Astyanax mexicanus: one gene and its partner. The protein of the gene in region 1 interacts with the protein of each later gene in a pairwise test. Links are inferred from orthologs where the notes say so. Each region holds a gene or a part of one and is shown on either strand. Other genes may lie near its edges.

The links. The genes of interacting proteins can lie anywhere in the genome.
Region 2: the proteins of copa (region 1) and copb2 interact in a two-hybrid assay, tested with the Homo sapiens proteins (2 studies listed by BioGRID, with this or other methods). The link is inferred for Astyanax mexicanus from reciprocal best matches to the Homo sapiens genes COPA and COPB2.

What each region holds. Positions count from the first base shown.
Region 1 is NC_064415.1:44,436,253-44,444,579, reverse strand, and holds the start of copa (coatomer subunit alpha), read right to left. Parts: upstream 3,274-8,327; 5' UTR 3,096-3,273; coding exon 3,056-3,095; intron 1,076-3,055; coding exon 962-1,075; intron 878-961; coding exon 804-877; intron 432-803; coding exon 351-431; intron 240-350; coding exon 163-239; intron 31-162; coding exon 1-30. Other genes in the region: pex19 (peroxisomal biogenesis factor 19), read right to left, coding at 8,156-8,242. UniProt on the Homo sapiens protein: The coatomer is a cytosolic protein complex that binds to dilysine motifs and reversibly associates with Golgi non-clathrin-coated vesicles, which further mediate biosynthetic protein transport from the ER, via the Golgi up to the trans Golgi network.
Region 2 is NC_064415.1:52,356,169-52,363,748, reverse strand, and holds the start of copb2 (coatomer subunit beta'), read left to right. Parts: upstream 1-4,410; 5' UTR 4,411-4,562; coding exon 4,563-4,565; intron 4,566-6,524; coding exon 6,525-6,662; intron 6,663-6,833; coding exon 6,834-6,920; intron 6,921-7,073; coding exon 7,074-7,200; intron 7,201-7,580. Other genes in the region: rbp2b (retinol-binding protein 2b), read left to right, coding at 1-162, 2,211-2,312, 2,805-2,858. UniProt on the Homo sapiens protein: The coatomer is a cytosolic protein complex that binds to dilysine motifs and reversibly associates with Golgi non-clathrin-coated vesicles, which further mediate biosynthetic protein transport from the ER, via the Golgi up to the trans Golgi network.

The DNA of each region.
Region 1 (8,327 bases):
ATCACATAATGATTATGGCCAGTCAGAACACTAAAAGAAAAAGAGAGAGAGATTATACACTGTTAAAAAAGCATGCATGGCTTAAAAATGTGGTACTTAAAAATGTGTTGCATTGTGGAGTTAAAACCGTGCATAAACACTCAGACAGACTATCACACTCACCACACACAAGTCCTGGATTGCCAGTTCCAGATGCGGATGGTCTGATCATCTGAGGCACTCAGGATCCATGGGTACTCCTGAAACAGAGAAACACAAATACAGAGGTTCAGAATGGAGCTCAAAAAACATATTAAACCTGTAATGTGATTATGATTGTTATATAAAACAGAGTATAGAGAACAACTCACATGGTGGAAGAAGGTAGTGCGGATGTAGTCCAGATGACCCAGCAGGGTGAAAAGACAGCGGCGAAGTTTATAATTCCACACCTGAGACAGACACACAGACACACACACATAGAAGGAGAGAAAGGGAGAGAGAGAGAGAGAGATCAATTGCATGTAGATATTGATCTAGAGTGCATCAAACTGTATAATGTATTTAACTACACTGTGTTCACCACATAGAGCCTGTGGTTTCACCTGGGTGTTGTTTCATTACAGACTATAAATCATCAGTTGATTTGTGTTTATCTGTGTTAGACCTTCTCTGATCATTCATTCATTTTAACAATTTTAACACTGCAGTGACCCTGAAATAATACCAGACAGCACCTTGTGATGGTGAAAGAAAGGGGTTTCTAATAAAGTGGACATTAACTCTGAAACGGTACTGCAACCCATAAAGCAGAAATTCCAGACCTTAATTTTGTAGTCGTCCCCGCCGGAAACAAACAGAGGCTGCTGTTTGTGGAAGTCAATCCCTCTGACTGGCCCTGCACAGCACAAACACACAGGTGTCACACTGCAGGCACAGATACAGTACATTCAGAGAGTAACAACTGGCAGTTTGGTCTTACCATCGTGTTCGTCAAACTTGTCAATGAGGGTGCACATGCGGTAGTCCCAAAGCTGAATGACCCCATTGTGCAAACTGGCGAGGATCCAGGGCCGCTTTGGATGGAAACTCAGCCCTGAAACAGACAATGGGTGTGAACCTATTTTAAACGAAAGATCCAGTTTTTGATTTGAAGCAAATACAGTTATGCCTTAGATGTTACAGTCTTTTTTATCAGTGGTTAATGGTAGTTACATATGTGTACTTTGCTACTGTACTTTTGAAATATTCCGGGCAAAAGTGCCGGAACCACAGCTCTGATATATCAGCTAACAGACTCCTGTGCTGACCAACACATACAGGAGTGATGTACAGAGGAAATGCCATCAACCCAAAGCCTCTGTTGCACTCTGATCCAACAACAGTTTTAATTTCAAGCAAAATATCTGTATAAATTAGGCATGCACAATGACATCAGAATCGGGTAAATATTTTAAACTGATACTTGCTGATGTAGACATTGACCATGCTACTTTACAATTTTATTTATTTTACAATTGTATTTCTTTTTATTACTTTCAATAGGTCTATGCCTTTTTTAATCTATTAATTTCAAAATGAGGATTCAAAGCTGTTATCAGTCTATGTAAGGACCAGTTAACGTAAATAATGTGAAACCAATGATGGAGACACCTTTCATTTTATTCACAGCTAAAAGATGAAATGTAAGGAAAATTAATACTACATTTGTTGCTAAAATTATACTAGGTTGTTTAGTCTCTCTGTTATAAATGTATATTTCGGGATCAACAGATATACAATACCAGTCAAAAGTTTGGACACACCTTCTCATTTAGTGTTTTTCTTCATTTATATATATTTATAACATTTCTTTTATACATTTTAGATTAATATTAACATTAAAACAATTAAGGGACACATATGAAATTATGTGTACATAGCAAACAAATAAAGTGTTTGTCCTCCACAATCCCCTGACCTAAACCTAAGTGAGCTGAACTATTGTTCAGCACCTATAGGAACTACTTCAGTACGCTTTAAAAAACTATTTAAAGTGACTCTACTTCATGAAGACACTGAGACTAAAATACCAAGAGTGTGCAGATCTGTCCTTAAAGCTAAATGTGGCTGGTTTGTAAAACATTTAATTTCACATGTTCCTGCACAGCTTTAATCTTTTCAATATTGCATTTACAATTTACAAAATAATAAGAAAGAAAACACTTTGAATGAGAAGAGGTGTGCCCAAAGATTTGACTGTTGCTGTGTATATGTATAATATTGAATATCGGTCTGAATTCTCACCTAATATTAAAAGTCTAATCGGTGCAAGTTGTGCATCTGTATTTTGAATGTTACAGAAGAAAAACACACTCAGGAATTTGATGCTAAATTTGTCATTCGAGTTAAATTCGAGAGCTCAAAAACTGAAGAAAAACTGACAAATTTGACAACTGAAAAGTTCCATACTTCACTATTAAGTGTATAAAATCTGACATCCATTTCACTTTAATTATATAGATAAATTAAACGGTAATATATTAAAGCTGTTTAATTGTACCGTGACAAGTCTCATACTTAACATTAGTTATGTAACTACAGGTTTAAGGATGCTAGAACTAGGCAGGGGAAGTTAATTAAGTTAATTAATAAAGTTAAAGTTAATTAACATAAATGCTTTTTAAGTAAATGTCGTTTTACATAAATATAAAAAACGTACCTACGTTAGTTAAAAATTATAACTGTATGCTATTTAAAATAATATTACACCAGCTGTCTTAAACTATTAACCCTTTTAACTCTAAAAACACTATAAGCTACAGAGTCTCACTGTGAAGCTAACCTGTGCTAAGCTAAAGCTATGCTAATCAGCTACCTCCTGATTCACAGGCCTCAGTGTTTGTGAATGCAGTTTAAACTCCTGATATTTCACACTATTTAAACATTTAAACAGAAAAAAGCACTTTAATAAGCCTGTGATTACCCCGATACATGTGTTTACGGGTGTTTTCTTTAGCTGTTTAGCTCGGGGTATTCTCAGTTAGCCTGTGTGATGCTAGGCCAGCTACCCGCTGCGGGTCCTGACTGAACTCACCCTTCACTCGGGCGGACTTGGTCTCGAACTTGGTCAGCATGTCGGACGGACTCTGCAGCCTCGCTGAGGGTCGGTTCACTCCAGTAAAATAATGGAATCGCCGCTAAAGCTCCGGTGTCGTAGCCGGTCTGATCCAACAGCAGCGGGCTGCTGGAGGTGCTGCGCTTCCGGAGCTGACACGTCTACACAAACCCGCTCACTCACACTCAGCTCCAGCGCTGCAGCGGAACCTCCACGTCACACTCAGTGTGGGCGAGTCCCAAATCCAGCACATGTCCCCTACCGAGGGGACTACACGGAAGAACCCTCCTTCTTCTTCTTCTTCTTGTTGTGGTTTTATTCCGGTTGGCAAACCAGCGTATTTGGTGCATTACCGCCACCTCTGGACTGGAGTGTGGATCAGGAATAGCTGACAACCCTCAAAACACACACACACACACACAAAATAAAAATAAAAATAAAAATGAAAATAAAAGGATAAAATGACTTATCCATTAATTCTTGTTAATTAATCATGTGTTTTTTTTATAGGAAAACTCACATGACCTGTGCTCAACTGCATTAAACTCTGAAAGTTAAAAGACGCCTTTTCTTTCTGTAGTTGGCTGATAAGTAGTTGCCTGTCTGTCTGGTATTTTGGACAATGAATCAAAACATGTTCTACAGTCTCCTGGCTGTCGCTGCACTCACAGGTCCCATCAACATCCTTCTTCATCTTATAAAGTGTACTTCTGAGCTTTGTGACCAAACCTCATTCTGGAGAACCTTCTTCTCTCTGTTTGTGTTTCTAGGCCTCCCCACTTCATTCTGAATGGCATGGTACTGCCTCCCTGTCTCTCCATCATTCCATATGCGTTGCCATTTACCACAGGTCCTGGCCTTGGCTACACTTTTGATCTCAGCCTTACTGTATTGCATTTCAAGCTCAACGCTGTCCTTCTTTAAGGCCTCCTTTGCTAGCTTGTCAGCCAACTCGTTGCCACTGACCCCTATGTGCGCCGGTACCCATAGAAAAACTGTAACGATTCCAGCCTTGGCCAGATTATTTGCTCTCTGCACTATATCATATATAAGGTCTGGCCTCGAATCAGACTGGCCATTCCTTATGCTCATAAGCGCTGAGCTGGAGTCAGATGCAACCACCACCTTCTGTGGCTTGTTGACCTCAACCCACCGTAGTGCCAACCATATTGCAATCAGCTCACCTGTATACACTGCCAGGTTATCATTCACTCTTTTCGCCATTACAGCCTGAACCCTTGGGATGGCATAGGCTACACCAACCTTTTCATCCATTTTAGACGCGTCTGTATAGATAACCACTGATTCGGCATAGTTTTCCCCCATGTACCACATCACGGTGCCAGACATCCCAAGTTGCAAAAGTTGATTTCAAGGAGGTTACCCAGGTTACTCAGTTTTTAGCCTACACTAGATTTACACTTCATTAAATTACTTAGTTTTCTTTATCAGTAAAAAGGGCATACACGCATTTTAACTTGGCAGTTGAATACAGGACCTTGTGTTAAAGGTCTTTAGGCCTACAAATAAGCTTTTTGAGAAAAGAGTCTTTTTGAGAATACAGGCTGTTTGTATATAGTTTGTTTGTTAAACTATTAACTTTTTTATATTTTAATTTAATAATCATATTTGTATTCTTACTTATTCCTATTTCCACTTTTGAGTATTATATTCACATCCTATGTCTAGATACTTTTTCACATAAAAGAGTTGTTGTATCAGTATAATTCTAATTTAACCAAGGTGGGGTATTGAAATTAATCACAATTAGATAATCTTTATTAATTTACATAAGCAAAGGATATTTTTTTAAAAAAATAGTATGCTTTAGTGTAAGTTTGAAGACACATGAAACATTTCTATTTTTTCCCCCCTCACACATCAATTTTAGCCAGTATCATTAGCTTAAAAAATATTAACATGTCCACCCGTTATGTTCTATTGCCCCCCCAAGCAAGTCAGTCTAGAACTAGGGCTGTGGTGCATACTATATTTACAAGGTCATTCAGGATTTTAGCAGTCTGATATATTGTTTTTTTAAGTCTGCCAGTTTTTGAAACAAAATGAGAATAGGAGATAATGCCCTGAGAAATAAACCTAGTGCCATTTAACTATTTCAACTAAATATCAAAAGAACAAATGATACACAGATTTGTCATATGCAAATGTTTATTCAGTATTGTCATTGTCTGCTGATACCTGTGCCTCTTGGATATTATAAGATTCACCATTGCACTGCCCTTTATCTGTTAGATTTTTTTTTGTAACTTTATTATTTTCCCCAGTTTTCACACTACCCCCTGTGAGGGACGATACAAAAAAGCTTAATGAACACAAACGGACAGTACAGACTGATACAAACGTGTAAAAAAAAAAAAAAAAGTAAATTAAGAATATGTTAGAGAATAAAGGCATATTTTAAAAAAATTTATATTTATCATCTACAGTTAGATGATATTCTGGGTTTGTTAGAGCACCAGCAGGCGCTAAAAATAGTTTTATACTGAAAAATTTACTCATTATGTCAACACAGAACAATATCATATGTTTAGGCATTGCAGATTAAATGAGTAAAGAATTTAAACTCCAAGTATTAACCTTTCAAACCTCTGCATGTAATTCCAGCATCAGCAACCAGTCAGCTCACAGTAGCAGTAATGCTTTAGCCTTTACTGCATAAAACCTGTTTACTACAGAAAAATGAACAAGTTTTACTCTCTTGCACATATTAAAAACAAGAATTGTTATGCTCGATTAGCTTTTTGTGCTAATAAGCACCTCCTCCTCCCCAACATTAGTAACTGATTGTTTTGTAAATTAAACTGTTAATTTCACACAGTGCATCTCATAATTTTATATTTTAGTGTATAGTATGTAATTTTTATAATAAACTTCTCCATAGAGATGAATGGTGGAGTAACAGCTCAGCACATTGTGATTTATTACTCCAGTCTGAAAGTGGAATTTCACTAATAGTGGGACATTATAAAAATGGTAATGTTGTATAAATGTAATAGTAACAAAAAGTCACAGTTTTCAAGGTTTTTTCAAATAAAAAAATTGTATTAATGAAATTGATAAAAAATTTATGCTGTGTTCCATCAGAACCAAGTTATTAAATGCAGAGTATTCTAATAAGGACCCCTGAATGTTTGACTTCTAACCCAGTCAACTCGGGTGTGATCTTATTTTCATCTCAGACATCTCAGCAGTGTTATTCTAGCAGCTCTTACTGTAAACTAAATAATCACACATCAGATACATGTCTTGACTGAATGACATTCTGGGGTCAGAGATCAACAATGTTCATTTGATTTTTCACTGAACATGTCCCTTATTTAGTTATAAAAGAAATTATCTGTTGCACACGGCTCACCAGATTACATCACATTTACAACTGAACAGAGGATCTTTTCAACTGATACAAAAACACAGAGAACCAAAGAAAATTTGATTAATGTTTTTTATTTCTTCACTGTAGTTGCGTATTCTGTTCACAGTGTAGTGGACAGGTATAACTGTGTACTGTGAGGAAAGGTTGAGCTGATTTAAGTGCGTAGGTGTTCAATGAACTCCTGAGTGTTGAGGTTATGTGCTCTTCTCTCATTGAAATCTATGCTAACAACCATATCTACATACCTTAAACTCAGCTTTCAAAATAAAAGCACAATCTTTAAGAATTTTAATTTGAACATTCCCCCATTATCTGAGGTACAATGGTAGATAAATATCATTAAACACAACTCAGAGCTGAATCAGAGCATAATCATCTGTAAAATTACACTTTTACAATGAACTGGTATTAACAGGTTTGTAATGGAAGCAGGGTGTGTGTATTAATTCATCCCTACAGTATTTGCAGCATTTTAGTATACAGGTAATTACAATAGACAATATGGGTTTTCTATCGTTAAAGAAAAGCCATTTAGTCAAACAATGCTTACAGTAGAAGTCAATGGCTATGTAAGGGGGTGCTTTATTCTTTTTTGCTGCATGTTTAGGAAATGATTAATTACCAGACACAAATTTAGGTATTAAAGTCAAATAATAATAATAATAATAATATTTAATCAAAAATACTTATAATGGACAGCAATGGAACACAATTTTAGCATGGTCCCACTTGCTTCTATAATAAGTCAGATTCAAAGCAACATTGTTAAAATTATATTAGTCTGAGATAATCAATCATTTGCTACAAATAAAGCAGATTAGGATGAACATCTTTAAAGCATCTGCTCACTGAACCCTATTATAAGTGAGTTTTAGATAAATGGTTTTCTGTTCTTATCCAGGCTCATGTTGAAATGATTGTCTGTAGTAATTGACCGTATGCTACTGCTAATGCTACTGTACAGATTTCACTTTTAAAACCACTGGATTATACCTTTAATATTGCAAAAATGCCTAATATGTCCACTTGTAAAGAATTTCAGAAGGCAAAACAGATCAGACGCATCACTTCTATCCACTTTTAGATGATCAAAACATCATCCAGCATACAATTCACTGTAATCAGACAAAAGGAAAATACACAAGGCTACCTAAACCATGCTAATCAGGCTCACTCAGGGAGAAAAGTGAAAACCACTTAATTTTAAAGGCTGAAATATTAAGAAAATCAGTTTTGGTCACTGATTAATTATGAAAAAGAAACGGAACAATGATTCAGCATGTTTAAAAAAAATAAACATGCTGAAAATATAATGTATAAAAATTATTAACCATTTAAATTACAGCTTATTAATTTCGCAGTTGCTATAATTATTGATCCAGTGTCCCTCCTTGGAGTCACACTTTAAAATCCCATTCGCTCACCTCCCACGGTGTTCTCATCTCTATCTTTAACGGAACAGGCACGCGGTTCTAGCTGCTCGACTTGTCATCAGGTGAAAAAGTGCAAAATTAGTTACTATGAGCAAGTTGAACCACCAGAGTAAACCCCACCCTCACCCGCAGAAAGAATGTTACTGGGCTGCTCCAGCGTGACTACAGGGAACGAAGAGTGAGCAGAGGAGGGGGAGGCAGGTTTAGGGTTTGATGGGTGCAAACACACACACACATACAAACACTGCAGCCTCACATCACTGAACACTGATCAGCCCCGGCCGCACCCAGACCTCCGGGCAGGTGCAGTGACTCCGGGTCAAAGTTCAAACCAGGTGGCTAAGGAGACACAAAACATACACATTACATAGATCAGCATGAGAAAGGATGTATTAAAGTATAGTTCAGTAACAGAAAAGAAAAT
Region 2 (7,580 bases), about 7.9 Mb from region 1:
CGCAAGATCGCCCTCCTCCTGTCTCAAACCAAGGTCATTATCCAGGATGGAGACAAGTTCACGATTAAGACCCTCAGCACCTTCAGGAATTACGAGATGAGCTTCACTATCGGCGAGGAGGTCGAGGAGTACACTAAAGGACTTGACAACAGGGTGGTGAAGGTGAGGCCGTGATGAACGGGTGTTAATGTCTTACGTCTTTTTCCACTTACCTTAATGCAATAAGTCTTGCTTGACCTGCACTTACCCACCCTCTCGGCCTTGGCTCCCATCCCAGCACTGTCTTCGGCTCTGGTGATGGAAATCGTGTAAAAAAAGTAAATAGAGGATATTCATCAAGACTCACTCACCGAGACAAAAGTACACTAGGCAGTGATTTATAAGACTCATTTTCAAAGCACTGGATGGGCCAAAAGCGAATAGATTAAACACTCATTTCAAGAATTCACCACATACCGTTTAAATGACATTTAGTCCCAGGGAATTTGGTTTGATCTGATAAAATACTGCTCTAAAATGATGATCTGGCTTCTCTAAGGCCAGATATTGTAAAATTCCCTTGGAATAGCACTTAAAATGTTCTGCATTGTAGCTTAATACTAAAGTCATCCAAACTATGAAGAAAAACATATGGAATTATTTAGTAAACCAAAAAGAAAGGGTCAAACAAACCACAATATGTTTCATATTTTAGATTAATTTTTGCTTAGATAACAGCTTTGCACATCTTGTCTGGATTTTCTCAGTCAGCTTTATGAGGTAGAGTCACCTGTAATTCAAGCTTTCAGTTAACAGCTGTGCTGAACTTGTCAAGAGTTAATTACTTTAATTTCTTGTCCTCTTAATGTGTTTGAGAGCATCAGTTGTAAAGTTGTGAAGAGGTAGAGTTACAGGTATACAGTGAATAGCTCTATTTAGGCTATGTTCTAATTAATATTATGGCAAGATCTACTCAACTAAGTAAAGAAAAAATACTTGAAGAAATGAAGGTTAGTCACGGAACATCAAAAACGAACATCAAAACCAGCCTTAGAAACCACAAGTTAACAGCTCCCCAGATATGAGACACCTAAATGCTTGACAGTTTGTTTAACACTTTTGAGTAATTACATGATAAATTATGTGTTCCTTCTTACTCTAGATGACTTCAGCATTTTCTTAAAGCTCTGTTTTTCCTGTTCACACAACACTAAAAAAAAAGTTTTAAAATCTCCACCAAGCTTAGTTTTCCATCAAAAACAGCATCTTCATGTGGTTGGGAGGCCAAACTGCAGAAATAATTAAGAAACTCAAGAAGTACATGTGGACATGGCTTTAAATACCTCCTCATGTTGTACCTTTAAACTCATTCACACTATTTCTACACTGCGTCTAAGCAAGCATAATAAGCTAGATAACTAGATTTGTGTCAGTCCTGTTACTGTCTGTCCGCCTGCCACAGACTCTGGTTCTCTCAATAAAGACTCCATTTCCCAGGATACACCTGTGTCGTCATCCTTCTAGTTAGTTCACGTGTCTTTCCCCAGTATAAATAGCCCTTGTTTTTCCTATTCTAATCTATTCCCATAGGTAACTTCACATTTCTTTTGTGCATGACTGTATGTTACCAACCCTTTTTGTATCTCTGACCATCCTTTTTCGCAAAGCCTTTTGTTGTTTAGTTAGCCTACTCGTTGCCTACCTGTTTTGTTTATTTGACCACCCTTTTGCCTTGCCCTTTTAATTATATACTGGATTTCCTGTGTATGATCTCCTTGTCTACTCACTCTGGTATGCTGTTTGTTTACACTGTCCTTTGGTTACTGATCCTGCCTGTCCCTGATTATTCTTATAAGTGCAACCTCTTATTTAATAAATTGTGTGTTTGGTATCACTTACGGATAAAAGTCAATATTGTTACAAATATATAATGAATTTCTTTAATCCATGATTTGGAGTCACATTCAGACACATATACAGTCAGAATCTCTTTATAGTTGGGGGCAGGACAACAGAGAGACAAACTTACATATTGGATTATTAAAGAAAGGCCAAGAACTGATTGAACCATTGCTATGCCTATCCATGCCCACAGTCTCATTGTGTTTGACTGTACAGATCAGACTTCACCGGAGCCAAAGCCTCTGTGTTTGAGGAGACGTAGCTCAGTGTGAATGAGAGAGGGCAGGAACAGGCCACGGCACTGTTGACTGACGAGCTTGTCTTTACAGACTCTGATCACCTGGGAGGGCGAGGAATTGGTGTGTATACAAAAGGGTGAGAAGGCCAACCGTGGATGGAAGCACTGGCTAGAGGGAGATAAACTGCACTTGGTGAGCCTCCAATTGCTTTGTTTTACAGGGTAACATTTAATTGCACATTTAAATCGTTCAAATCAACTAACCAAGCACTGACTATATATAGTAAAGTAATACTGGATAGGACCTGCCTTCACATTGAAAACAGCTTTAGTATTTTGTAGCACGAATTCCATAAGATGTTGAAGGCATTGCATTGAGATTCGGGTCCATGGTCACATGACTGAATCATGCAATTGTATTTAATGCAGCGAATCTCATGTTCTTCCAAATCACAAAAATGTTTTACTGGATTCAGATCCACAGAATAGAAAAGGCCTCTAAAAACACTCATTCAGTACATTTTAGTATTCCAGATATTTTTGGTAGAAATGAGATGATCAAAGACGAAAAAAATAACCATTCATACTGTTATCAGGGAAAAAAAAAGTTGTATATTACATATTATGTTATTTTGCATTCTCACACTAACATACTACATTTCCTTTTTATCATTTATGATCGCAGGAGCTGTACTGTGAAGATGTTGTTTGTCATCAAGTGTTCAAGAAACAGGGTTAGTGTTCACTCTCTGTGCTCACTAAAAAAATGATAAATGTAAAATAACTGTATTGGCAATTTATATCAATAAAGAAACCACAAAATAAAAACACAAATGGATTTGTATGTGTGTTTTACATGTATTTTTCAACAAGACAATAACTAAGACTAACTTGTCATTAGTTATTAATTGCTTGAATTTCTTACCTCTTAATGTGTTTGAGAGCATCAGTTGTAAAGTTGTGAAGAGGTAGAGTTGGTATACAGTAAATAGCCCTATTTGAGTAACGTTCTAATCCATATTATAGCAAGAACAATTCAACTATTCAAGTAAAGAAAATAAATTGACTTTGCTTTGAATAAAGGTCAGTTAATCTAAAAAAAATTAAAACTTTGAAAGTATCCTTAAATGCAGTCGAAAAACCATCAAACATGTTATGATGAAACTGGCTCTCATCAGGACTGCCCCAGTCAAAAGTTTGGACACACATTCATTTTCATAATTCATTTTCTACATTGTAGATTAATATTAAAGACATCAAAGCAATTAAGGGACACATATAGAATTACGTAGTAAACAGCAAAAGAAGTGTTTGTCCTCCACAATCCCCTGATGTAAACCTGATCAACCGAGATGGGTGACCTCCAGGAACTCCTTCAAGATGCTGAGAAAACTATTCCAGAAGACTCTACCTCATAAAGTCACTGAGATTAAAATACCAAAAGAAGTTAAATGTGGCTACTTAGAAGAATCTAAAGTGAAGTATTAAACATATTTAGGTTTGTTTAAGACTTTATGTTTACTATACAATTTCACATGCATTCCTGTATAGCTTTGATGAAGTTTATTATCCCTTTCAGACCTGGATTATCCACAGTGATGGAAAAAAAAATGTAAGAATGCTGTTTTTTGTCTGTAGAGCACAGAAAAGAAGACTACTCTACTAATTTTCTACTAAATTTAACAGCAAATAAATAAAATTAACTACAATATATATATATTTTTTTTACATTGTATTGAAAGACTGTGTGTAGTATTGTATATCTCATATTGACCTTTTTTATTTCATAAATCATCCCTAAATAATTAAAAAAGCATAAGTAAAAAAGTGATTAAATAAGTAAAATGAGCTGTTTCTTTGCCTCAATGGGTCTAGTAGTATTTTTTCCTGTTTCATTGGTTTATAAATGTTTTAATTGGCTGGCTCATGATCTATTCTGATGAACAACAGCTCTCAAATATTTTGAACAATTTAACATTTTGACAGACAGACAGACAGACAGATAGATAGATGCTTTATTGATCCCAGATGGAAATACTCCACACTCAGTAGCAGGTATACATAGTACACAGACGTTTCAAAACAGAAAGTAGAGTCTTATAGAAAGTAGAGTCTTTTAGTTGGTATGTAATGGAGGTAGTGTGGTTAAATTATGCCCACTGTAATGGATACAGGGTCTGAAAGGGTTAAATTCATCCTTTACCATTCAGAGTTGTGCAGGACTGTAGTTTCTGCTCTGGATCTCCTCAGTCCTCCATGTGTCGCGTCATCGGCTCCCACCACACGTTTGAGGAAGTTCCACGTCAGATGAGAGTGTGTGTATCTTACTGTGTGTGTGTGTGAGGGAGTGTGTGTGTCCAGCTGGAGCTTTAGTGAGCTGCGGATACAGCAGCAGCAGCAGATCTGCGATTAGAAAGAGCGAAAACCCACTAAAAGCAGCAGAATGGTGAGTACAGCAGCTCCGCTCCGGTTAAGTTATACACAGCGCGTTGATGCAGTCTGTCAGAGCGCAGATCTCCCGCAGCTGAGTTTAGCTTTAGGTTTAGTTAGCGATGCTAAGCTAGCGGAGCTAAAGGCCACATACACAGACTGAGCAACGTAGCGTAAACGCTAGCCAAGTTAGCTAAGATAGTTAGCTGACCATGTATTCAGTCTGTGAACGAAATAATGCTATAATTTGGGCGTTTTCCTTTTTAAAAACGTACTAATAACAACTTCAAAGGCTTCAATTTGTAACCTAACTGTCTTTTCGGCTGTGAACCTGGTTAAACAACGAATTTGAAGCTAGTTAGCTTCAATGCTAATTCCAATATTTATCCCATTGAACGCAAGCTAGCTGGCTGCCCGGCTAACTAGCATTAGCTCGCTAGCTATCTCTCACAGTTAGCTTTAATAATTAGCTAGCGTTAGCTCTCTGAGTCCAGATGTTGAAGTTTTGTGATGTTGAGACGATTAACTATAAATATGAAGTTATTTAGTGAGCTAATTAAACTGCAGGTTGCCGTGATATTAAATATTGAGCTGCAGAGTTAGCTTAGCTTGCTAAAGTCAAAGCTAACCCGACTAAACTAGCTTAAGAGAAGCTGAGAGAGTTGACATTAATGACGTGGTGGTTTGCTAAGCTAGCTAACATCTAAACTATTTAAACTAACTATTAACTTAATGTTTTAACGTTGTATTTGTAAAAACGTATAGTTTGCAAACTATATACAGCTCTGGAAAAAATTGAAACCACTTAAGTTGCCGAATTAGTTTCTCTGATTTTTCTATTTATAGTTATATGTTTAAGTGAAATTAACATTGTTGTTTTATTCTATAAATATAAGTTACTGTCATTTAGAGCATTTTGCAGAAAATAAGATATGGCTGAAATAACAAAAACGATGCAGAAAAAACAGGTTCATATTCATAAAGTTTTAGAAGTTCAGAAATCAAAATCTGGCGAAATTACCCTGTTTTTTTAATCACAGTTTTTATGCATCTTGGCATGTTCTCCTCCACCAGTTTTACACACTGCTTTTTAATGCCACTCCTGGTGCAAATATTCAATCAGTTCAGCTTGGTTTGTTGGCTTGTGATTATCCGTCTTCCTCTTGAGGTTTTCAATTTGGTAAAATCAAAGAAACTCACCATTATAAAGAGGTCTCTCATTTTTTCCCAGAGCTGCATGTAAGCAGGTTATATTTAACTAAACTAGTTAACCTTTCTTAAGTGTTCATTTTTTCCATGTTTTAACATTTCGCCATAGGGTAATAACACAATAATAACGTAGAGAGAGGCTATATTTCATTACATGTATCAATACATGTATCCTATTCTATACTGCTCCTATCGAAATACATGTTTCTGTCATATCCACAGTAAGCATATTGAGGTTATCACCAGTACTTAAAGAACACTGACCCAACAGCTTTTTCATGCAGAGTATAGTGATTCTTATTTAATTTGTGCTGAACATTATTCCATTAAACATGATTTATTACACGTTGTAATGAAAAGTACAGTTGGGTCGGTGTTCTTTAAGTACAGGTAATAACCTTAAAATGTGTATTGTTGATATGGTAAAAAAAAAAAGGTGTCATGATACGATAAGCTATCAATATGTTGTCCATCTCTAACAGTGGTTATATGTGCCTAGCTATGGAGGTGTTGGCAGTCTGATCATATTGGTATTGCACTGGTCACAAATAATCCATGATAGAGCTGGACAATATGTTGTTAGTTTATCATATTGTGAGACCTTTTCTTATGATATCGTTTGTAAGCATTTTGGGGTATAAGAACACTTCATGTCATATGTGTTTAGAAAAGCATATTGTTTATAATGGTAAAAACTGTCCTCTTTATTCTTTCATTCTTAATATATTTGTGTTAACAACTGGGTGAACAATTTTCCCCCTTGTAGCCTCTGAGGCTGGACATCAAGCGCAAGCTCACGGCTCGGTCCGACCGTGTCAAGAGCGTGGACCTTCATCCCACGGAGCCATGGATGCTGGCCAGTCTGTACAACGGCAGCGTCTGCGTCTGGAACCATGAAACACAAGTAAGTGTCGAACCTCTTTGTGTAGACAGTTTATTTACAAACTGCAAACTGTAAAGATTCTGCTTTATGTTATTCAAGTCTGACCTCAGTCTGACCAAGTCTGATTTCAGTAGTTTAGAGAAAAAAATATTGAACTGTTTTAATATAAAGTTTTCTCTGATTGTTTTGTAGACCTTGGTGAAGACGTTTGAAGTGTGCGACCTGCCAGTACGAGCCTCAAAGTTTGTGGCCAGGAAAAACTGGGTTATCACTGGAGCAGTAAGTAGTAGCTGTGTTTAGTTGTGATAATAATATGTTCATTAAATACATGCATATATCATCTATTGCTTATGAATCAATATTCATTATATCAGGCATGATGTTTTCTTGGACCTGGTGTGAATTGCTTTTTTTCTGCCCTCTGTCTTTTAGGATGATATGCAGATTCGGGTTTTCAACTACAACACACTAGAACGGGTCCATATGTTCGAGGCTCATTCGGATTATATCCGCTGCATTGCTGTGCACCCCACCCAGCCCTACATCCTTACTAGTAGTGGTATGTACAGGTTTACTTTCACATGTTCTATATGTACAGAGATTTTAATGATGGCATCAGTCTACACAGATTTAGACCAGTTTTGACTGATTGATGATTTTGTCAGAGCTGATTCATTTTTTTTGGCATATCCTACAACATTTTTCTTGATATTGACCAATCAGAGGATGAAGTGCTGTTACATATGTAAAAATAAGGAAGAAAAAGAGAGAAAGAAACTATTGCTACCGTTTTCCTTACTAGTATGTTTTACTTTTCCATTTCCAAGTACAAAGAATTTTTTTCCCAGTCATTTCTCACCTAGACCTTCTGTTTACATACACTGAAGCTGGTAGCTGTAGCTATATTCATATAATATTACTGTATTTAAGGTAATACTA